Yarrowia lipolytica: one gene and its partners. The protein of the gene in region 2 purifies or fractionates together with the protein of the main gene of each other region. This does not show direct contact. Links are inferred from orthologs where the notes say so. Each region holds a gene or a part of one and is shown on either strand. Other genes may lie near its edges. The genes, in order: YALI1_F24401g, YALI1_B20521g, YALI1_E16451g and YALI1_E05664g.

What was found.
Region 1: the proteins of YALI1_B20521g (region 2) and YALI1_F24401g purify together in Saccharomyces cerevisiae (affinity purification with mass spectrometry, with the first as the bait; 3 studies listed by BioGRID). This does not show direct contact. The link is inferred for Yarrowia lipolytica from reciprocal best matches to the Saccharomyces cerevisiae genes PRP43 and CLF1.
Region 3: the proteins of YALI1_B20521g (region 2) and YALI1_E16451g purify together in Saccharomyces cerevisiae (affinity purification with mass spectrometry; 3 studies listed by BioGRID). This does not show direct contact. The link is inferred for Yarrowia lipolytica from reciprocal best matches to the Saccharomyces cerevisiae genes PRP43 and CBF5.
Region 4: the proteins of YALI1_B20521g (region 2) and YALI1_E05664g purify together in Saccharomyces cerevisiae (affinity purification with mass spectrometry, with the first as the bait; 3 studies listed by BioGRID). This does not show direct contact. The link is inferred for Yarrowia lipolytica from reciprocal best matches to the Saccharomyces cerevisiae genes PRP43 and PRP46.

What each region holds. Positions count from the first base shown.
Region 1 is NC_090775.1:2,436,920-2,442,902, forward strand, and holds YALI1_F24401g (uncharacterized protein), read right to left. Parts: upstream 3,191-5,983; coding exon 1,160-3,190; downstream 1-1,159. Other genes in the region: YALI1_F24359g (uncharacterized protein), read left to right, coding at 1-825; YALI1_F24408g (uncharacterized protein), read right to left, coding at 3,662-3,955; YALI1_F24413g (uncharacterized protein), read left to right, coding at 4,443-5,090; YALI1_F24469g (uncharacterized protein), read right to left, coding at 5,176-5,983. UniProt on the Saccharomyces cerevisiae protein: Involved in pre-mRNA splicing and cell cycle progression. Required for the spliceosome assembly by promoting the functional integration of the U4/U6.U5 tri-snRNP particle into the U1-, U2-dependent pre-spliceosome.
Region 2 is NC_090771.1:2,048,487-2,054,777, forward strand, and holds YALI1_B20521g (uncharacterized protein), read right to left. Parts: upstream 3,646-6,291; coding exon 1,450-3,645; downstream 1-1,449. Other genes in the region: YALI1_B20493g (uncharacterized protein), read right to left, coding at 299-883; YALI1_B20527g (uncharacterized protein), read left to right, coding at 4,222-4,367, 4,420-6,049. UniProt on the Saccharomyces cerevisiae protein: Pre-mRNA processing factor involved in disassembly of spliceosomes after the release of mature mRNA.
Region 3 is NC_090774.1:1,642,376-1,647,968, reverse strand, and holds YALI1_E16451g (uncharacterized protein), read right to left. Parts: upstream 2,843-5,593; coding exon 1,385-2,842; downstream 1-1,384. Other genes in the region: YALI1_E16433g (uncharacterized protein), read left to right, coding at 4,662-5,593. UniProt on the Saccharomyces cerevisiae protein: Catalytic subunit of H/ACA small nucleolar ribonucleoprotein (H/ACA snoRNP) complex, which catalyzes pseudouridylation of rRNA. This involves the isomerization of uridine such that the ribose is subsequently attached to C5, instead of the normal N1.
Region 4 is NC_090774.1:563,399-568,592, forward strand, and holds YALI1_E05664g (uncharacterized protein), read right to left. Parts: upstream 3,015-5,194; coding exon 1,689-3,014; downstream 1-1,688. Other genes in the region: YALI1_E05645g (uncharacterized protein), read right to left, coding at 1-1,150; YALI1_E05668g (uncharacterized protein), read left to right, coding at 3,446-4,342; YALI1_E05681g (uncharacterized protein), read left to right, coding at 4,752-5,194. UniProt on the Saccharomyces cerevisiae protein: Involved in pre-mRNA splicing. May also be required for cell cycle progression at G2/M.

The DNA of each region.
Region 1 (5,983 bases), on a different chromosome or scaffold from region 2:
ATTTGCGGCTCCAAGGGGCATTTCGCCCGGGACTGTCTCGAGAAGGGCACCAACGCTGGCACGTCTGAGAATGCCGACAGAGAGTACGACGCTCTGATGCGAGAGCTCCAGGGAGAAGGAGTCATTGACACTGCCTCTCAGCAGCAGTCCATTGCTCAGAACCCCAACACTAACAACGTGTCCAAGTTGCCCCCTGCTGTGACTGGCTCCAACGCTGCTCCCATCAATATGCGAAAGCCCATGAGCGAGAGAGGAGGGTCGTTTGATAGATTTGACCGAGGCGGCTTCAACCAGTCCAACCAGCGAGAGCCCCAACAGCAGAGCCACCAGCAAAACATGCACAACACTAACGGAAACAACTATGACCGATACGACCGCAACTTTAACAACTCGTCCAACTCGTCGCCCGAACTCCCTCCTTGGCACAGACCCACACCTCCCTCGCAGCCTGCTGCTCCCCCGTGGCTGCGACGTGACAACTACAAAAAGCACGACAAGGTATCTGTTCAGCAGTCGATGCAGCAGTCGCCGTGGAATCGCGACACCCGTCAGCACCAGCATCAGCACCAGCCCCCCGTGCACCACCAGTCTATGTTTAATAACAACCAGTCTCCCATCGGGCCCCCTGGTATGTCGTCTTCTGGCTTTGGTGGTTACGGTGGCGCTCCTGCTGGTGTGCCCGGCATGTCTGTGCCTCCCGGACCTCCTGGTCTTTCTAAAGTTCCTCCTCCCCCTCCTCCTCCTGGGGTGCCTGGAATGGATGGAGACCAGCCCATTCGTCATCCCCCGCCTCCTCCTCCCGGAGTTATCGGGCCCCCAAAATAAAAAAACTACTAACATGTATACTAATGGATTTGGATCTTAGACTCGTATATCATTTTGTCCGTAGGCTTGTATTTTGTACAAAAAATTTTGATAAGTTTTTTATATTATAATATATATATATATTTTACTGCAATCTTTTCAAACCTTATTTAGCAGTAATTCTGAAGAGCGAGTGTCTTTGGTACATCCTGTACACACAATGCTGTACTTGTAGCTTGGTGATAGCTTGGTGATAGTGGCGCAGGGTGGAGTAACATGAATAAGGGATCGCAGCTAGTGTTATACAACGATTCTATTATACATATACAGATAAATACATAGTTGGCTCCCACAGTCAAGACTGATTCTGAAGCTTCCATTTTCGAGCATTCTCCAGGAGCTTGGAGAACGACTTGTCCTCCTCGTCGGTGGGGAAGACGTAGTCGATGTACTCCTCGAAGGTGCCATCCTCCAGCTTTCGCTTCTTCTTGACAGGAGTGGGCTTTCGCTTGTCCAAATCCGCCTTAGACTTGTCATCTCCATGCTCCTCTTCAAACTCACGCCATGATTCAAACAGAACCACTCGCTCCTCTCGCTTGTTGGCGGCCTTGAGAGCGTCCCAGGCCTCGCCAAAGATACTTCGTGCGCGTGCCTTTGCTTCTTCAGTGACCTCAATCTCGGCCTCTCCCTCGTCGTTGTATTGCAGCTCCTGGTCTTCAGCAGGAACAGTGACCTCAAACTGGGCAAACGAGATCCACACCTTGATGTGACCGTGGGTTCGATCAAGAAGCTGTCGGTAGATGGCTCGTGCTCGGTCGTAGTTCTCCTCTTCAGCCTCGAACTCAATAAACCGTTTCCACACAAGTTCAGGCATCTCCATCTCGGGCTGCGACACAGCTAGCTCAAAAATAGCACGAGCTCGCTCCTCGTCACCAAGCATCTGCTCCAGCTCCGCATACTCCATCCACGGAGCAGCAAACTCGGCAAATTTCTCCACATACTTGTCGTAGAGCTTTCGACACCGGTCAAACTCACGCAGTTTGGCCTCCAGAGCAATGTATCCCTTGTACAGCGCAGGTTTGCCCCCCGACATGCCCAGTCCTCGGCCTAGGATCTTACGAGCCTCTGGCAGATTGCCATGTCGAATCTCAAACTTGGCCCATAGTAACCACACTTTGGCGAATGTGAACTTTTTGTGTGGGATGATAGATATGCATGTTTTGTAGATTTCACCGGCCTTTTCAACCTCCTTGTTCTCAAGCTCCTCCCAGATGGCATACTTGATCCACAGAAAGATGTACCGTCTCCAAAGACGCTTGGAATGTGGGGGAACGTTAGAAACAGCACGTTCAAAGATCTCACGAATCTGATCGGCCTCAAGACCACTTTCCTGACCTAGAGTGATGTAAGAGAACCACGTATCGTAGTCTGCAGGGTCCTCCTTCAACTGATCCTCGTACTTGGATCGTCTTTTAGTGAGAACCACATTCTCAATACCCTCCTTGGCTCCATACTGTTTCTCAAAGGCCGTGTAGTCAGCATACAGCTTTGCAGACTTGCTTTTGGGCAGCTTCTCGAGTCCATAAGTGTACAGAGCTCTTGCTCTTTCGTACTCCCTATGACGAGTCTCAAAACTCGCCCATCCAGCCAGCAGACTCTCATCCAGAAAGTCCACGCCTCCATGCGCCATTTCCACCAATGTGTCGATTCCCAGAGCATACACCTCCCTGACGGTGTCTCTGTTTCCTGCCTCCATCTCAAACTTGGCCCATTTGTTCCATGCTGGTGCACCTGGATGAACAGTGACATATCGTCTCAGAATGCCCCGCGCACGGTCAAACTCACGATATCGCTTCTCCATGTTCACGTAAGCTGCCCAGGCGGTCACCGGCGGCCTCCAATGCATCCATCTCTCAAACACGGCTCTGCAGCCGGCAATGTTGCCCAGCGTCTCCTCTGTAGCCACGTATGTGAACCACAGCTTGTCGACACGCGGCAGGAGTGTGACGGCTCTGTCCAGCAGGTTTCGTGCGTGGTTGATGTTCTTCTCCTTGAGCTCGCACTGAATGTATCGGATCCAGGTGGGCACATGCGTTGGGTTGACCTCGAGAGCTCGTTCAAATACAGATCTGGCACGTGCAAACTCCCGTTGCTCCAGCTCCCACTGCGCGTACCGCATCCACTGGCCGGTGTTCAGTCGATTTCGTCGCAAGGCTCCCTCATACTCCTGTCGTTTGCGGCCTTGGTACTCTGCCAGCTCTTCCAGATCGGCAATCTGCTCTGTCTGCTGAAGAGGCGTCTCCTTTCGCTCATATGCCTCCAGCAAAATCTGCTCTGCAGAAATCTGCAACGCGGCGGGCGCTTTGTTTTTCACCCTTCCTTCCATACCGGTGTGGTGTTTCGAGGTCGTATATGGCGTCAATATTTTTTGGTGATGATTCTGCGAAGGTTTTATTTGCAGTGATAACTAAGCTTCGTCGAGTCAACATGAGATGAGCGGAACAGTGTGAACGCATCTTGACTTGTGGAAATCAGTATATATAGACATATAGACAAGTACTACCTCCAACACCTAATGCTAAGAGATACATTTGTTTTCCCGTCTGTTTTGTCGGTCTATTCTATCTTTATATCGATACTGGCGCCACAATACAGGAACAAGTATTGTATGTAACTACGTACTTACAGAACATACTGTAGCTACAGTAGCTAGTTGTATGGCAACCAAAAAGACTACAAGTATTACAAGTAGCTACTACCTATTCACATCTATACCTAATTCCACATATGTTCATCCAGTAGCACGTAGTTCACGCTGCCCCATCCCACATCCTCTAATCAGTCAATTATCAATACATTAGTTGCCGCCTCGAAGGGCCAGGACCAGATGCAGAGAGGCTCCAGCTTCAATCTTGTTCTCCGCAATGGTCTTCTCGTCCTGGAGCTGCTTTCCGGTGAAAACGAGACGCTGCTGGGCGGGAGGAATACCCTCGAGTTCCTCGATCTTCTCCTTGAGAACGGAGATCTGAGTTAGTCCTGTTTGAGTGGTGACGGGATAGGTGCGAACAGGTCCGTAAGTGAACCTTGCATTTGTAGGATCGTGATAGAGAACAGCACTTTCCCATGACTTTTTCCCCTTATCGTGTCTCATTCATGCCAACTTCATCGTGGCACGCACGCGTGACCACTTCGCAACAGTCCCCCCAGTCCCTCCATCTCTTCATACTCACCTGATCTTCGGGCTCAACGTCCATCTCAATCTGTGTTAGCTTCGTCGTCACACACTGGCCGCAACAGTGTTCCAAATGTCATTTCATCTAGGAATGTTACTGCTGGGTGTATATCGTGGTTCAGGACTCACCTCCTTTCCAATGAGTGTCTGTGTTAGCATTTCCAAGTTAGCGCACCGCAAGCACGAATCTGCGGGGAGGATGCGCACAATGAGTTCTTTCGAGTCCCCAATCATGTACCCCGCGGTCTCCCCAAATCATACTCACCTTGATCTTGATCTTCATGTTGCGTGGCTTGTATAGTGGTTGAGGTTGAGTTGCAGCTGGAACGAGTTTAAGTTGCATGCGAATATATATTTTGGCATGCACAACCACCAAAGAATATCGTAGTCTAGACACCACCCAGAAATGTCGTTTCCAACACCTTCCACGTCATCAGCCAACTATGAAGAGGTCTACGAGCCCAGCGAAGACTCCTTCATGCTCCTGGACGTGCTGGAAATGGAACAGAGCTACATCAACAGCCATCTGTCATACCCTGTGGTGACAGAGATCGGAACCGGATCAGGCATCGTCACCACCTTCATGCTGAAATCCGTGGTGCCCAAAGGCGTTTTTTTGGCTACAGATATCAGCCCCTTTGCATGCAACCAGGTTCTGGCCACGTCAAAAGAAAACAACGGCACCCAGTACCTCGAGGCGCTTCGTGGAGAACGTACCACAATGATGAGACCTCATACCATCGATCTACTGGTCTTCAACCCTCCATATGTGCCAGACGACAAGCCCGTAGAACCCTACCCGGAGACAGATGGTGACTGGGTCGATTGGGCACTTCTTGGAGGTGAAGACGGAATGCAGGTGACTTGGAAGGTGCTACTAGAACTGAAGACCATACTGTCAAAGAACGGAATCGCCTACATTTTGTTCTGTGCAAGCAACAAGCCAGAACAAGTGGCTGTCAAAATGAGGGAACTGGGATGGATCGTGACGCGCATTGTTGAAAGAAAAGAAGGCAGGGAACTTCTAAGTGTCTACAGATTCGAGCTGAAGTAGTAGACCATCATTGCATATTAATTACATTTTTTCACACGCATACATATCATTCATTCATTAATCTATTTAGTATAATATATCATCTTTACTCCTGGATATCGGCCAAGAGATCCAGCTCACAAGCCTCCTGATCAGTCTCCTTGAGAGCGTAAACACTTTCGTAGTTGTAAATGGAGAGCCGGTCAAAGAAAGGCTTTAGCTGTGCAAGAGAGGTAAGAGAACCAATCTTCTGTCCAAAAAGCAAAGGCCGTCGCTTGGAAGTCTCCTCCAGATGAAGATCATCACTGCTGACAGGCGTAGACTCAGCCAACTGATCCAGAATACCGTAAGGGTGTCCGTAAATAGCATCACTGGAATCGGTGACAAACAGCCATTGATCCAGCTGGAAATCCTCCTGGTTAAGCACCAGCACAAGATCGAGCAGCTTACAGGCACTCATCACGATTCGGTTATCCGTCTCCTTACCTTGCAGCAGACCCTCGAATATAACCTGCAGGTTGTGGGCAACCAGAGGCCAAATGGGAACCAGATGAGTGGCAGAGAACCGCATAACAATAGCACGCAGTGCAATGAACAAGGACTCGAGCTCAATCTCATCCAGAATGCCCTTGATCTCCTTCATATGAAGCACAAACTGGTCTTCCTGGCCAGAAAGCAACAGGTAACACAAACGTCGAACACTGTTACCTCGAGAGCCCCAGTTGAAGACACCAGATGAGCCGGTGATGAGCTCAGAAACCTCCTTGGTGCACGTGGACCACTTGGACAGAATCTGGGGCCAGGGAGCCTCGTAGACAAAGTTGTCCTCGATGAAAAAGTCGTGAACGGCACTCTTCCACACCTTGACGGTTCCTGGGATCTGAGTGATGACGCCGAGTAACTCAAAAGACCGT
Region 2 (6,291 bases):
GTAGTTTTTAGTGTTGTAAAATGAAATGAGTATGGTTATGTTTGACTACTTGTCGTTAGCACTGTACAGTACAATAGCTAGTACAGTATGTAGTGCGTTACCTATATGAGAATTGCAAGGTGCAGAATGAACGTTGATACTGTACTAATTAGTAACTTGGGGATATCTGGAGGAATATGTATACTCCTCGTTTGTGGTGCTATATCTACCCGATGTCTATCGCTATCAGTACATGCGAGTGCGCGCTGCGCTCATGTCTTGAGAATACATATTGAATAAATAAACGGAAATCCCCCATCTAACTCTCGTCCCAGTTCTCTCTGTCATGAGCCTCCTTCATGGCTTCTCCTACCGCCTGCAATTTAATGAACGATTGCTCAACGTTATGGTTCACCTGCTCGAAGTGTTCAGGGTTGAAAAGTGTTCGCTTAATAGTGTCGATATCGCCTGCCTCTGCGATCTCATACTTGTCCATTCGCTTATCGATGTTAGATAGAGCACGTGCAAGATTGATTTGTGTCTGTCGCAGCTGGTTCACTGCATCTGAGTGGGCCTTGCCGAAGAAACCCTTGTCGGACTGTGTGAGTTGAGAGATGCGTTGCACCTCGTTCAGAATGTCAATTTCGGCCCACAACTTGTCATGAGTGTCCACACGTCGCCTTCCACTGCTTCCAGCAGAATACCTCGCATCAGGAGCCTCTGCATCTGAATCTTCCGCGGCCTCTGAGTCTTCCCCTCGAAGGGAAGGTACCCGTAGCCCTGAGCTTCGACTGTTGCCTCGAGAGAACTGGATGCGAGTATTCCCAGAGCCTGCGTTGTTGGACGATGTCCCTTGCGCCGTGGAAGACGTCTGAGGCGTTTCTGGCGTGATATTAATGTTCATTATGGCGTGAGTTGAAGATGAGAAAGTTGAGCAGTGAAGGTGAGACAAATGAGACTGGCTGTATGTTGGAAGTTTAATGATGGTGAACGTGTTTTGGTAGCTAATTACTGTACACACATTGTATTGTTAACTACAACCATGGTACCACTGTATAGTAGTTGAAGGAAAAACTCCGGAGAGTGTCTTGCAGGGTAGTAATCAACGTGGTAGTAACGCATTTCGGATCACTATTCTGAATGCTGATGCTCGCATTTTATGTGCTACTAGTGAGCCTTAATAATCAACTAATCAGTTAGGGAAATAGTCAAATTAGTGCAAGTTTTGTTAAATAATCAGTTAAGCCATTCATAATGCATAATGCATTATGTGATTATAAAATAAACAAAAATCTAACACCTAAAATGCTCTCAACGACGACCATGTGGAACAGCCAAGCCCGAGTTCCCCAATAAATTTACAACGTCCGGGCCCACAATCACATGCTTACGAGCCCGCAGTCAAAATCTATATCTATCGATTACCATTATACATTATTTTGTCCTCCACTTGCGTGTTAGCGCCACCGTCTATTTCTTCGCCTCCAGCTTCTTGTACACTCGCTCGAGAGACATCTTGATGTCGCCCTTTCGGAAGGTGTCCAGATCGTAGTAGACAGGAGCAATCTCCAATAGCCACTCCGGTCGAATGCCAGTGACGGTTCGAATGTAGTTCTTAGTGGTTAGAACGAACTCGTTATAAATCACCCACTCGGAGTCCTGGCCAAGCACCGAAGAGGGGTGGATCAACACGTCCTGGTTGTCCTTAACGGTGGTGTAAGAGTTCTTGCCTCCCTGAGAACTCTTCTTGGCCACTTGCATGAAGTATCCGGCAGTAAGAGCCTTTCTGATGTTAGTGTAGTAGTTTCGGTCCTCGTAGGGAGTGGACATGAGCTCCAGTCCATTCTTCTCCATCAGTCGCTTGAGCTGAGCTCGCACGTTGTCGGCAGACTGCAGAGATCGCAGAGACAGATAGTTCTGGTAGCACCATTCGTTGGGGTCAGCCTGGGCTTCGTCAGATCTGTATGCGTGGTAGACGTTCAGCAAAGTTAGATGGTCACCGTCGGGATGAGCAAAGCTGTTCTTGGCCTCGTCGGCAGCCTTTCGGTCGTTGTTGGGTCGAACAAACACGTTGGGCACGGACAGAAGAGCAGTCAAAGACAGAATCTCGTTGGAGCAGTAGTAGTCAGGTGAGGAGATGAGCATTACGGCCAGCATGGGGTCCAGGGGGAACTCGGAAGCAAGTCGACCGAGCTCGGTGAGGTTTCCATCGTCGTCAAGACAAGTCAAGTAGTTGAGTTCTTCCAGAGCTCGCATCATAGTTTCGGGAGCAGGGGGATCCATGAAGTCAAAGTGAACGAGATCGTCAATGCCCAGCTTCTTGAGCTCCAGAACAGTGCTGGCAAGATTGGATCGCAGAATCTCGGGGTAGGATTGCTCGTTGAGTTCCTTCTTGAAGGCATCCTCGGTGTAGAGTCGGAAACACTTACCAGGTCGGGTTCGGCCAGCTCGGCCAGCTCGCTGCTGGGCAGACGCCTTTGAGATGGGAGCCACAAGCAGAGACTCAACTCGGATTCGAGGGTTGTACACCTTCTGCTTGGAGAAGCCGGTGTCGACGACGTATACAATACCGTCAATGGTAAGCGAAGTTTCAGCAATGTTGGTGGAGACAATAACCTTTCGTCCTCCAGGAGGAGCGTCGTCGAAAATCTTCTGCTGTTGGTTGGGGGGCAGAGAGCCGTACAGGGGGTAGGCCTTAAGAGGACCACAGCCAGACTCACGGGTGAGCTCGTCGGACTCGAGCTTGAGCTTTCGGCAAGCGTCTTCAATTTCCTCCTCACCGGTTAAGAATAGCAGAATATCTCCTTCGGGCTCGGTGGCATGGATCTGGAGAACAGTTCGAAGAGCACTCTCAAGGTAGTCTCGCTGAAACTCGGGAGTGTAGTAGATCTCGACGGGGTGGGTTCGACCGGGAACAGCCAGGAGAGGAGCGTCGTTGAAGTACGACTGAAACTTCTGGGCGTCCAGTGTGGCGGACATGACAATGATCTTAAGATCGGGCCGTCGGACAGCTACTTGCTTGATCAGACCCATGAGGATATCTGTAGCCAGAGTACGTTCGTGGGCCTCATCGAGAATAATGCATGAGTATCTAGACAGGTTGTGGTCGTGCATGGCCTCTCGCAGAAGCATACCATCAGTCATGTACTTGAGAAGAGTCTTGGGGCTGGTCTTATCCTCGAATCGAATGGAGTAACCAACTTCCTCGCCAAGTCTCACATCCATCTCATCAGCCACACGCTTGGCAACAGACATGGCTGCAACTCGACGGGGCTGCGTACAGGCAACCATCTTACCTTGCAGCTGAGGGAGATCATCAAACAACACAAACTGAGGGATCTGGGTAGTCTTACCAGATCCAGTCTCACCAACGAACACCATGATCTGAGTAGAGTGGAAGGTATCGAGGAACTGTTGTCGCTGAACATGGACGGGCAAGTCTCGTCGGACCTTAAGGATATCGAAATACTTTGTCGACAGCTCCTTTCCGTTGAACATGTTGTTAGGTCCATCTTCGTGCTTCATGCCTTCATCGGCTGTGGTCTGGAGTCGGGTCAGTCCAGACGCCAACTCAACGAGGGTGTTGTCGGGAACATACTCCTCAACCTCATAGTCTTCGACGATTTCCTCTTCGTCAGTCTTGGGCTTTTTGCTCACGGGTTCCATTGTAACTGTTGGTTTATCGTTCGTCAATGAATATGATGAGTATGGGTGGGAATACAACAGTTCAAATAGCCCTATGCAGGATTTCTGAATTTTTTAAAAAGAGTTCGAACCTTATATGGTTCATATCATAGTGGCGACAAGATGACACGGAGGATAGACGACCGAAAGAGGGATGAAGAGAGACGAACATTACCAGGAGGTATTAAACATGCAAAATATGTCATACGCTAACTCTCCTTTTTGCTCTATTCAGTTTCCCCAAATGAAACCAACTCGTTATACTTGCTCAAGCGTGTCTTACTAATCACCTATACTGGTCATGGTGGTTGACATCCGAAGATAGTCCCACTGATACAATGTTACGGAGTGTGATCGTACATGAAGAATGAAAGGCGTTGTCTCTCTTCTGTCTCTGAAGCCGCCACTCTAAGTTGTGTGCAACTGATGGAGTTGAGCCGCTCACAAATATCGCCCTCTCCGATTATCAAATCTCGTTACTCCCAGTTCAACCCTAACCACAGCTCCCAAGATCAGCCTACAACATCATCTTGGAGACTGCAACTTGATCAAACAAAAATGCGCAATTACGAACTGGTGGGCTTGGGCCGTTCGGTCGCCAACATTTCCAAAAAGGCTTGGGATATCCAGAAGCAATCCATTCATGACCACCTCGAGGGCTCGTCCATTGTGAGCGGTCTCAAGGGTTGTGTAGTGAGCTCAGTGTGAGTATCGAAATATATGACAGACACGCTTTTTGAACGATTGCTAACACAGATGCCCACCTGCTCCACTTTCGACTGCCAATGGAACCATTCCTAGAGATCCTCCTGCCCAGACAGGACCCACGGGCCTGACTCCTGGTGTGCCCAATGGTCCGTTGGGATCAGGGTCTAGCTCAGCCAAGATGGTCTTTGATCCCTTCAACAACAAGCGACCCACAATCAACGGCAACTCCGTGGATCCTTCCACCAAGCGAATGTATTCGTCGTCCTCCGACAAGGGACCTTCCATTGGCGAAGAGATCATTGGAGCGGAGGTGCCCAAAGATCGGATCATTGGAGAGAAGGAAATCAGAGAAGAAATGATGTCTTCTGCTGTGCCCTCCGGTCGATTCGAGCGACTCTTCCACTACGGCACTTTGGCCACTGGTCTCGGTGTTGGTGCTCTGGGTGAAGGTTTCCGACGTCTCACCGGAGACAACTCTCACGCCGGATCTCTGGTGCTTACCCCCGGCAATGTGGAACGTCTCGTCAAGTCGCTGTCTCAGATGCGAGGAGCTGCCCTCAAGATTGGCCAGCAGCTATCCTTCCAGGACTCTCGAGTCTTCCCGCCTGAGATTCAGCAGATCTTCTCTCGAGTCCAGAACAGTGCCAACTACATGCCCGCCGAGCAGCTCCACAAGGTGCTTACCAAGGAGCTCGGCCAAGGATGGAGAAACGAATTCTTTTCTTCCTTTGAGGACAAGCCCATTGCCGCTGCTTCTATTGGCCAGGTTAACACCGCTGTTCTGCGAGACTCTTACGAGCCCGTCGCCATCAAGATTCAATACCCAGGCGTGGCTGACTCCATTGACTCCGATCTTAACAACCTGATGATTCTCATGACTGCCTCCAGCATGCTGCCCGAGGGTCTATTCCTTGACAAGACTGTTGCTAACGCTCGAGTAGAGCTCAAATGGGAGTGTGACTACATCCGGGAGGCACAGAACCTGGAGCGATTCCAGGAGCTCCTGGCCGACTACCCCGACTACGTTGTTCCCAAGGTCTATCATGAGGCTTCCACCGACAAGGTGCTGACCATGCAGAGACTTCGAGGCCAAGATATCGTAAAGGGTCCCTGGGATCAGGACACGAAGAACTGGATTGCTACCCGAATAATGGAGCTGTGTTTGCTGGAGATTGCGAAGTTCAAATTCATGCAGACCGACCCCAACTGGGCCAACTTCCTGTACAACCCCAAGACCCATAAGTTGGAACTTCTCGACTTCGGTGCCTCTCGAGGCTACTCCGACCAGTTCATTAACGACTACCTCAACTGCTTGCGAGCAGCCGTTCGAAAGGATCGAGCTTCTTGTGAAAAGTACTCTCTTGAACTCGGATACCTTACTGGTCTCGAGTCGAAAGCAATGCTCAATGCCCACATCGACTCCATGATCACTCTTGGTGAGCCTTTTAACGGCGAGAACGGAGGGGGAGACTTCAACTTTGCCAACCAGACTGTCACCGATCGAGTTCGAGAGAACATTGGTGTCATGCTCAAGGAACGACTGACCCCTCCTCCTGAAGAGACTTACGGTCTGCACCGAAAGCTTTCCGGTGCTTTCCTTCTGTGTGCCAAGCTCAATGCCGAGGTTCCTTGCCAGAAACTGTTTGAGGACATTGTTGGCCTTGATGACCAATCTTAGCTAATGTAAATAGACTAAATTAACCATGATGTAAAAATATGTGTGAGGAAAATTAGTACTTCGGGTGCTACAGTTGTACTGTTGTACTTGCGATAATTTGTTCTGTACGGTGAGCGTGTTTTTTTTTCGTCGTACACAAGCACATACTCTAAAACGCCTTCTTGAAGGCGCAAGAATCAGCTATCATTGTTATGTACTGTATGTACTGCATCTACGGGATTGTGAGTCCATAATGTTACGGT
Region 3 (5,593 bases), on a different chromosome or scaffold from region 2:
TTCATTTGGGGCTTCTGACGGCTCTGCTGAAGAAGTTGGTATTGTGCTGTCGACGACATTTTGAAGGCTTTTTAGCATAATTAGCAAACTAAATGTGCAATCGACGTGGGCAGATAAGCGGTGACGTTTGGAGGGCATTTTTCATGTACATGTACAATCACGTCGACGGCCCGTCAAGTGTTCAGAGGGATTATCGTCTTGTACGAGGCATGTGGGTTCTGGATGTGGGTTCTGGAACATTCTAGAATCTGTCGAGTTGAACGAATCTGTCGAGTTCAGCGAATCTGTCGAGTTCAGCGAATCTGTCGAATTCAACAGAAGAGCATTGTGACACAACTTCTTGCAAGCTGATGTGTGATTTGACGACGAGTGGCTGTTTGCATTGGTGTACTAGGGATGTTTGTACATTGTGCTTTACGGTACGAGTACGAGTAGTGTAGTTATGAGAACTTTTTTCATCGACTTTACATCTCCTACAGAACTGAGGTCAAGAAGATGGGTTGGTTAGAGTGGGAAATAGAGGTTCATCTTCAGGTGGTGGTCGTGGACGCATCTTCAGGTCGTAGAGACATCTTAACATCACGAAGATACAGTAGTTATTGCTGGTACGCACCTGTACCGATACTAGAAGCCTGTGCTCTGAGCTCGTCCAAGTGGGCTGTGAACATGCCTCCGGAGAGGGAGCTTGGGTGACAATTACTGTTACAGCCGAGCCAGTTGACCAAGTAGCCTCCGTACTTACCAACGTTGTCTCATTTGATCAGGGAGGCGACGCAGGTGTTGCGAATCCATCGGGTGTGCTCCTCGAGCGACAACGCTGGTCGGAAGCCATGTCGCCACAGCGCTTGAAGTTTTTCACATGGCTGAAGTTCTTCAGGCTGACGGTCAAGGGAAATGCCACGCTCATCCAGAGCTTGGAGCCACTCGGGGTCGATATCCGGGTAGCCCGATAGATGGTCAATCTGAGTACGTAAGTTGGATGGAACGAAGAAGCCTTTGACCAGCTTCTTGGCCCAGGTTGGTTGGCCATAACTTCTCTGTTGTTTACACTGCCATGCTCTCCGTGAAACCGCCTTCTGTTAACAGTTGGGTATTCAATCAGACGGTATTCAAGGGGTGTCACATCATCAACTGTACGCATACTCGCAGTCAACTTTCTCAACATGATTTTTTCGTCCACATACCACCTCTTGTCTCTGTAGGCCTCATACCGCGTGATGAGCCTAGCTTCAATACAGAACCAGAATCCATACAAATCTTAGCCATCTTCTACTGCCACTCTTCTTTAGTATTCACACTGACAATCTACCCTTCCACTCTTCAGTCCAAGCCACTTTGCACCTTTTTGTCGGAACCAAATAATAACATAATTTACATGCAGACACTAATCCTTGCTCTTCTTCTTCTTCTTCTTCTTCTCGCCCTCGTCGTCGGAGTCCTCGGCCTTTCGCTTCTTCTCCTTCTTCTCCTTCTTTTCCTTCTTTTCCTTCTTGTCCTTCTTGTCCTTCTTTTCCTTCTTCTTCTCCTTCTTGTCCTCCTCCTCATCGTCAGAGTCGGCGGCCATGGAGACATCAGCCTCGACCTCCTTCTTGGGGGCCTCGACAGCAATGGTCTCGGTCACAGAAGCGACAACGGGCTTGGTGACGGGCTCGTCCTCAGTGTGGTCCACGTAGCTCTTCTTCCAATCGGCAGGAGTGCTCTCGTTGGGTCGACCGTACTTGTCGAGCTTACCGTCGGCCTTGAGCTTCTTCTTCTCGGTAGCAACGGGTCCCAATCCCCATCGTCGGGGGTAGGTGTCTCGCTCCATGATGCATCGCTTGATTCGAGACACGACACCGTGGTCGCAGGAAGCAAGGTCGACGGTGGTCATCTGGGCAATACCAAGAGCAATGGCCTCACCCTTGGTGGTGATGAGCACAATCTCGTCCTCCAGCTCAATGCCCTCCTCGTATCGGAGAACACCGGGAAGCATGAGCTTGGCGCCGTAACAGATGGAGTTGACGGCGGAGTCCTTGACTACAATTCGCTTGTAGCCGAGCAGCAGAGACTCAAGGGGTCGGATGCATCGTCGCAGGTACGACTCGTCCTTGGTGTTGTCGTAGAGCCACTGGGCATCGAGAATGTCGTGCAAGGTGACCATTCCGTCGGACTCGTCGAGAGCACCGGATCGCACTCGTCGCAGCTCCTGCATGTGGCCTCCAACACCGAGCAGCATACCCAGATGCACACACAGGGTTCGCATGTAGGTACCGGCCTCACAGGAGGCCCAGAAGACACCGAGGTGTCGGTCGTTGTCAAACTCAAGCAGCTTGGAGTCGTAGATGGTTCGGACTCGCAGCTGTCGCTTGACGGCGGAAATGAGAGGAGGTCGCTGGAACAGGGCTCCAGTGAGGTTCTCGAGGCCACGGGCCATCTCCTTCTCGTCCTCAAGAGCATCGTGGAGTCGCACGATACACACGTACTCCTTTCCGGCTCCCTGCTGGGACTTGACCAGACGGGTGGCTCGGTCGATGCACACAATCAGACATCCAGTAACCTTGGGATCCAGAGTACCAGAGTGACCGGTCTTCTCGCATCGCAGGATTCGCTTGATCCAGGCAACAACCTCATGGGAAGAGGGGTTGGAGGGCTTGTCGAGGTTGATGACACCGGAAGCAATGTACGACTTGAGGTCTCGCTTCAGAGGAGAACATCCGGTGGGGATGGGGGTGTAGTGACCGGACCGCACAAGCAGCTTGTCGTAGTTCTTGAGCAAAAGGGGCCACTCAGAGGTGTCGGCCGAGGGGCCAACATTCTCGGGCTTGATGAGATAGTCGGTTTGTTCCTGAACAACAGCAGACATGTCGATAGTGTTGCTAGGTCGATATGTAGGAGAAGCTCTCAATGTGAGTTTCAATTTTTTTTTCACTGCGCAGAATTTTTGTACTTTGGGTTTGGATTAGGGGAGCGGCCAGGATTGGGACGAGTCCTTCTGCATTAGGGTATGGGGTTAGGGTGGCGGTTAGGGTACCGGGGAGATATATTCTGGTCATTCACTTGACAAGGTGGTTTGTGGGTGTGTGACGTGGGTTTGGAGGTGTTTTGGCCGGTATTTTGATGCTCGATCTACGTTTATTGTACTTATATCGCCACAAATCAGTGACTGCGTTGCGTGAGCTAGATTGTAGGCATATAGGCAATTGGAGTGTCGTATGGAGTGTGACAACATAAACAGTACAAATACAGGTATATATAGGTACGTGGTCATGGCAGCATCTCCATGGCCCGGATGTTCAAACCCCGGCCACACTTTGCTGACACTCACTGAAAGGGCTCATGGCTGGGTTGCCCATCACTTCAAGACTGCTCTGAACTTAAGGTTCTAGGATGCGTCAAGATGGTGAATGGTGGGTGAAGGGGGAGTCAGTTCAGGTGCTCTTACGAGGTATTTATCGACGAAGGGTGAGTAAGGTCACGTATTATATCACCAGTTCGAGTTATATGCTCGTATCTCGATTATTAAGCGACTGAGGAGAGTGTTGTGGCATTTGGCAACTGGACAAGTTTGTGAGGATTCGTACTTACAGTAGAAGCGGTATGGGAGCTGAGAGGTGAATGGAAGGGGTCCAGAAGAGACCATTTTTGTATGACAATGGGGGGCGAAGAAGACATAGATAGGAAGTATACGTGACCAACAACAACTAGCATACGAGATTTATATCACACCTTTGTCAAAAATGGCCGGTTTAGGTGTCTACTAGTCCATCCCGGGGAACAGGCAGTGATCACCAAAGATAAACGAGACAAAAAATAGTGAAAAAGATGCCGAAAGCAGCTAAATCGAAGCTCCTATGCGAGCCCATCAATTTGATATATTGAAAGTGCCATTTTTTTCATTTTCTTCTTCGTAACAATGCTTCATGGACTGACGAAGGAGTATGTACAGTATGTAGTGTACGAGAGGACATTCAGAGTCTGACTGGACATGGAGTCCAGTGACTATAATATAGCAGACAGATCTACACGGAGGAAAAAAAAGGGGATACAACGGAGACCTGGAGATATCCCCAAGGACTAGCACTTCGCCTTTGGCCATGTTACAGGTGATTTCTCAATGGGGTCTGATACAATACAAGATCATCAAAGTGAGAGGCATACATCTCCCTAATAGAAGTGTCTCGATACAACAGGAACGGGATCGGAACTAGTAGTCACACCATACCACAACCTACAAGACTGTACGTACAGCAGCTGAATGACTAATTGCTGTACTCCACAGTTGTCTTTCTCCACGTACATGCCATCATACATACACATGATGTCTCTCTCGGAACATGTCTTCTTGTATCCGGTCCAAGTCAGGATGACAGAAGTGAAATTTCACCCAAGAAAATACAGTGCTCGTACAAGTAGGCCATTATTATATACAGTGGGCTCGCGGCAAGACAAGACATGGTATATTACTAAGCAAAAGGACTCGGTAGTGTGCGTATCCTACTCCTCGTACAGATTATTCATACGGTCGGACTCCGATCGCCTACTCCTACCCTTTCTACCTGCATTTGGTCCACCGCTCAACTGCATCTCCAGTGCCGTTCGTGCAACTAAATCTTAGAGTTTGATCCGGATACAAGTATCGGCTAACACCTCTCTTTCTCCACATCTCCTCTCTTCACACAATCATGACCGTCGACCAATACCCCGCCAAGGCCCACGCCCTCAAGGCCGCGCAACACCTCAAAGCTTCCGGAGCTTCCGACGACGCTCTGTGGTACATTGAAGCTGCCAAAACCACCCTGTGGCCCCATTCGGACCAGACCGTGCCTCTCAGACAGCACCGGTACTTTTACTATCTGACGGGCTACGAGGCCCCCGACGCCATTGTCACCTACTCCGCCAAGGACGACAAGATCACTCTTTACATTCCCGAGATTGACGACGAGGAGGTCATGTGGTCCGGCCTGCCGCTGTCTCCCGAACAGATCCGAGCCGTGTCTGACGTGGACGAAATCAAGTACATGAACCACCTGGAGAGCGACCTCAAGGGCAAGAAGCTCATCAGTGTCGAGACCTACGACAAGCGAGACGCCGTGACCATGTCTCAGCCTTTGCTGGACGCGCTGGACGAGGCTCGAGCCATTAAGGACTCACACGAGCTCGCTCTCATGCGACACGCCTCCGAGATCACCGACAACTCGCATCTAGCCGTCATGTCTGCTCTTCCCATTGAGAAGAACGAGGGCCATATCCATGCCGAGTTTATCTACCACTCCATCCGACAGGGCTCCAAGAACCAGTCCTACGATCCCATCTGTTGTGCTGGTACTTCTGCTGGCACCCTGCACTACGTCAAGAACGACCTGCCCCTCGACGACAAGCTGCTGGTGCTGATTGACGCTGGTGCCGAGTGGAAGAACTACGCCTCTGACGTGACTCGTTGCTTCCCCATCTCCGGAGAGTGGACCAAGGAGTGCCGAGACATCTACGAGGCTGTGCTGGACATCCAGAATCACTGCATTGAGAAGATCAAACCCGGCGTAAACTACGAGGATCTGCACCGAGACGCCCACAGAATTCTCATTCGACATCTGATGCGACTCGGTATCTTCACCAA
Region 4 (5,194 bases), on a different chromosome or scaffold from region 2:
GCAACTCAATAATGGTGTCTGCCCAATAGGCTCGGTATGACAGCAGACCCAGATCTGAAAGAGGCTTTTCTGGGGAACCAGTCTTGCCCTCAGCCTTGGAAAGGGCATATGAGAAGTCAATAAGAAGGCGGCCATAACCGTGACGCTGGTATTGCGGCAGTGTGAGAATACAAGCGACATTGTATCCCTCAGCAGACTCCTTCTCCTTGGAAAAGTATCCTACCAGATGGTGACCCTTCTCATCTCGTCGAGTCATGCAGTAGAAAAGGAAGGGGTCCACATCGTAGTAGAGAGTCTTATGATCCAGGAAAAGCTTTGAAAGGAGACACAGGTTTCGGCACCATGTTCTCTGCTTTCTGCCGTCAATCTCGAAGAAACTGACTGCCTCATCTCGATAGATTTCGTTCCCAGGAGGATGTCTCAGAGTGGATTTGGATCTGAACCGCTCAAACTGCTTCTTGGACCCGAAATAACACAGGGTAAAGTCGCAAATGTAGATTTCATCTTCTTCGGTCAGCTCGATAGGATAGGGAGAAAAGTACCACGGTTCGATGACATGATTGCCTAGAACAATTCTCTGTAAATTTCGAACTCGAGCCACCTCATGACTGCTCTGTGTCATACTTCCTCCAGTTCTGAGCTTCTCAATCTCCTCGTCACGGTTGAAATTGTCGGGGTCCTGGGTGGTGCCGTTAACCTGGAGGTTGTCCAGGTCCATGACATCTTCCGAATTGGCTCCAGGAGTAGTTGCAGCCGAATCTGTGAGCTTCTGCTTCTTGGAGGGGTTCTTCTTCTTCTCCTTGCTGCTCTCCTTTGCAGCACCACTGAGAGGCTTCTTGGGCTTCTCTGGCTCGGGCCAAATGACACCCTGTGACAAGTCGACTCGAGTAGCCGCAATACGCTCATCCAGACGCTTGTTGAACTCGACGTAGTGCACATAGAACTCGAGGTTACCACGTCTCATTTGCACGCTGAGAATTTCAGCAACTCGGTCCTCACCGTCTTTCTCGACGTGGACTTTGCAGCCCACACGGAGCTCGTTGATTGCCACGTTCATGTCGACCTTCTGAACGGGCGCAGGAGTCTCCTCGGACCCCGAGGCTTTGCCGTTGGTTTTGCCGTTGGGCAAGTCTGCTTCTGCGAGAGCCATCTTTGGAGGTGTTGTGAGCGACAGTAAACTGCCTGGGTGTTATATAGCTTCGTCGCGCTATTGCTCGTTGATGTTCGGGTGGCGACAAAATTTTGATAAACTGAAAATAGTTATGGTCACGTGATGTTGGGAGATGAGTACAGCCACCTTAATAGAGACAGGAATGTGCCAGTTACTGTAGGGGGGAATTTACGAAATATCGTCTTGTTATATGATATTATTCAGTTATTAAATCTGCGATTATATTGGTGAAACACACATATATCCAACTGTACAAGTACAATGTACATGTAGTTGTTATTTCATTTTTATTTGGAGACCATCCATTTTTATGTTTCCGGAAAAAAATGAAAATTGTATAAGTATGGTTCTGGAATTGGGTCCATATACTGTGCCTGTATTGGTACCACTGGCCTACAAGTAGAGCGAAGGCTGAAAAGGAGGGAAAGCAAAACAAAAGAATGACAACGCCAACCAATACAATTGTACTTGTAACTAAAAATACATTAAATATGCGAAATTCTGATACACCATCCCTCTAATAGGTCTGGTATATCTTGGGTTTCCATTCGAGACCGGGATCACTTTCTGCTGTGGCATTGGGCTTCTCGCGCCACATTTTGATGCTCTTGTCAGCCTCACAGGTGATGAGGCGAAGACCAGTCTTGTCGAAACTGGAGTCGAAAATACCGTTTTCACTCTCGATAGATCCTGGGATGGGAATAGACTGGGTGCTCTGGAACATATGTCCAGTCTTCCAGTCATAAAAGCCAATAGAGCCGTTGTCGCCTCCCGAAAACATGACGTTGTCTTGGTTAACGGACAGGGTATTGATGATAGCGTTCTGGTCGTCGTAGTTGAGCACTAGATCGCCCTCGGGACACTTCCATTGCTTACTGGAGTTAGCAGAGGCCGTGGAGAAAGTGAACTCCTCGGGATGTAAAGTGAGGCCTCGCACACTCTTCTTGTGATGCGTGAGCGTTGTCATGGTCTTCCCGGCCTGTAGGTTCCACAGTCGCACAGTCTCATCTGCCGAAGCTGTAATCACCTGGGGTTCAGAGGCCTGGAACTTGACTCTGTTGATAGTCGACTTGTGTCCACTGAGAACAACCACAGGGTCACGAGTACGAATGTCCCACACACGGGCCACAGCGTCTCGACCAGCAGACACTAGGACATCCAGAGTAGGATGAATGTCCAGCGAGTAGACTGCAGAGAGATGGCCATGGTAGTGTCGAACGACCTTGTTAGTTTCCAGATCCCAACACTTGACCATCTTGTCTTCACCTCCCGAAAACATGTAAGGATGTCGTGGCGACACTCCCAATGCTCTAACACCCATAATGTGTCCTGTGAGAGTCAGTCGCAATTTTCCTGTAGCCAGATCCCAGATCTTGATAGTCTTGTCTGCAGAACCTGTAGCAAACCACTGGTTCTCTGGTTCAACACAAACAGATCTCACCCAGCCCTGATGGCCTGTAATGACTCTGTAGATCTCCCATGGTGCGTGCCACGCCGGTTTCGACTGTGTAAGGTTGGCTCCGAGATTAGTGAGACTGTCGTGTGTAGTTGGTTGGCTTGCAGAGGGCGTGTGTTTCGTGAGTGCCGAGGAAGAAGCTCCCATCAGAGCCTTCTGGCCGCTCTGAGATCCTCCTGCGATTCGCTGGACTGCCACACCTCCTGTGGCTTCCACTGCCAAACCCTTCTCTGCCATTTTGGCAGCCACCTGCTTTGCTAGGTATGGTGGAAGTTCGAGGTTCTGGAACTCCCTGAGTTTTTGAGCACGTCGGATATTTCGAGAGGGTTCATTTTCGCCGGTCGCGAGAGTACCATACTCTGGAAACAGGTCTTTGGCGACAGGCATGTGTGGATTACAAGTTCCTTGTAGTCTCTGATTATGACGGCTGAAATGTTCATGCAAGTTATTCAGATAGCCTTGTACAGGTTATGAGTGGTGTGAGCAGGGGAACAAGTTGGAAACTGGATAAACGAAATATGATTGGCCAGATTCAACTCTGCTTCAAAAATGAAACAATTCTTCTTTCACACTCCAGATATTACTCCCCCTGAGCCTCGTTTTCGGTTACTGTAACCCTCCCCTAATTATCGTTGTGCTCTTGAACTGGGAGGCGTCCACATAAACTTTTACACCATTTCCTCTTTCTCCCCACCGCAACCATGTCCAACAGATTATTGGGAGTCCTTACAAGTGAGTATTGAAAGGCTGGAAAGGGAAGATGAGTCCATACATAAGTTCAATGTGCCATTGCGAATATCCTGACACCAAACAATGGCATGTTTGCCAACTTGGCGTGGGGGTGCCGCACCGCACATCCACAGCAACACGCAATCTCGAGACCCCATACTAACCCAGCCATCGCCATTCCTGTCGGTGTTGGCATCACCTTGATGCAGTCCGCCATGTACGACGTTCGTGGTGGCTACCGAGCTGTCATCTTCGACCGTCTTGCCGGTGTCAAGCAGAACGTGATCGGAGAGGGAACCCACTTCCTCGTTCCCTGGCTCCAGAAGGACATTATCTTCGATGTCCGAACCAAGCCCCGAAACATCGCCACCACCACCGGATCCAAGGATCTGCAGATGGTTTCTCTGACCCTGCGAGTTCTGCACCGACCCGTCATTTCCCAGCTTCCCCACATCTACCAGTCTCTTGGTCTCGACTACGACGAGCGAGTCCTGCCCTCCATTGGTAACGAGGTGCTCAAGTCTATTGTCGCTCAATTCGATGCCGCCGAGCTCATTACCCAGCGAGAGGTTGTTTCCGCCCGAATTCGAGAGGATCTTGTCAAGCGAGCCGGTGAGTTCAACATTGCCCTCGAGGATGTCTCCATTACCCACATGACCTTCGGAAAGGAGTTCACCAAGGCCGTTGAGCAGAAGCAAATTGCCCAGCAGGATGCCGAGCGAGCCCGATTCATCGTCGAGAAGGCCGAGCAGGAGCGACAAGCCGCCGTTATCCGAGCTGAGGGAGAAGCCGAGTCCGCCGAGGCCATTTCCAAGGCTCTTGAGAAGGCCGGTGATGGTCTGCTCTTGATTCGACGAATCGAGGCCTCCAAGGAGATTGCCACCACTCTTGCCCAGTCCAACAACGTCACTTACCTGCCCAAGGGAGGCAACGGATCCAATGGCGCTTCCTCTGGCAACTCTCTTCTTCTCAACGTCGGAAGATAATTGTATATAGATATTTTGTAACTAAACTTGACACACTGAATGATAGGTTTTGATGATTTCGATGCAAGTACAAGTAGCGCCACTGGTACTCGTAGTGTAGCGATAGCGTGTCCAGATGTTGGTTATAATATTTGTGGTCGTGGAACACCAGACTTTATGAAGTGCATTCGTACCATAAAGCTACAACTATGAAAGAATATTAATAATAATTGGGAGCCTGACAAAAGAGTCCCTTTGCAATATAGGAATATTGACTCTACGATACTCCTGTCTCTTGTACCGTTTGTTGTGTTGTCCACATTGTCCACCCCAGCTGCTTCACTCACTCACACCATGAAAGTTCGAAAATGCAGGACAGGAATAATTATTTCTGGGTGTCGTCTGGGAGTCTGACACAACACCATACGTCATGTTATCGGTATATGCTGACCAGCACCGGGAGGCGCCGTTCCCGAAAAAGGCATACAAAGCTGAGCTTCAAAAAACTACGGAAAACGCAGGACTAGGCCTACAGGTGTCCGAATTCCTGAGCGAGGCTGAGATCATCCACTCGCTCTATTACCGGTACCGAAATGCCCACCATTGCGCCGAATGGTTCAGGCCTTTCTCGATGTTACATCGACGGGTATCCCAGGTTGCAAACTGGATTGTTGACTTGCACAAAGCCACCAAGAAGCGTGCTCCTCGACTGATCACTGCTATCAAGATATCGATCCAGAAGATCCAGACCAGGTACCTCCAGCCTGCCTTTTGGAGCTTCTACAGCGTCCTGGCTCTAGGACAATACGTCACAGTTGGATTTGCATTGCTAGGAACCGTGGCAAGGATTGCCAGCCTTTTAGCACAAGTTCA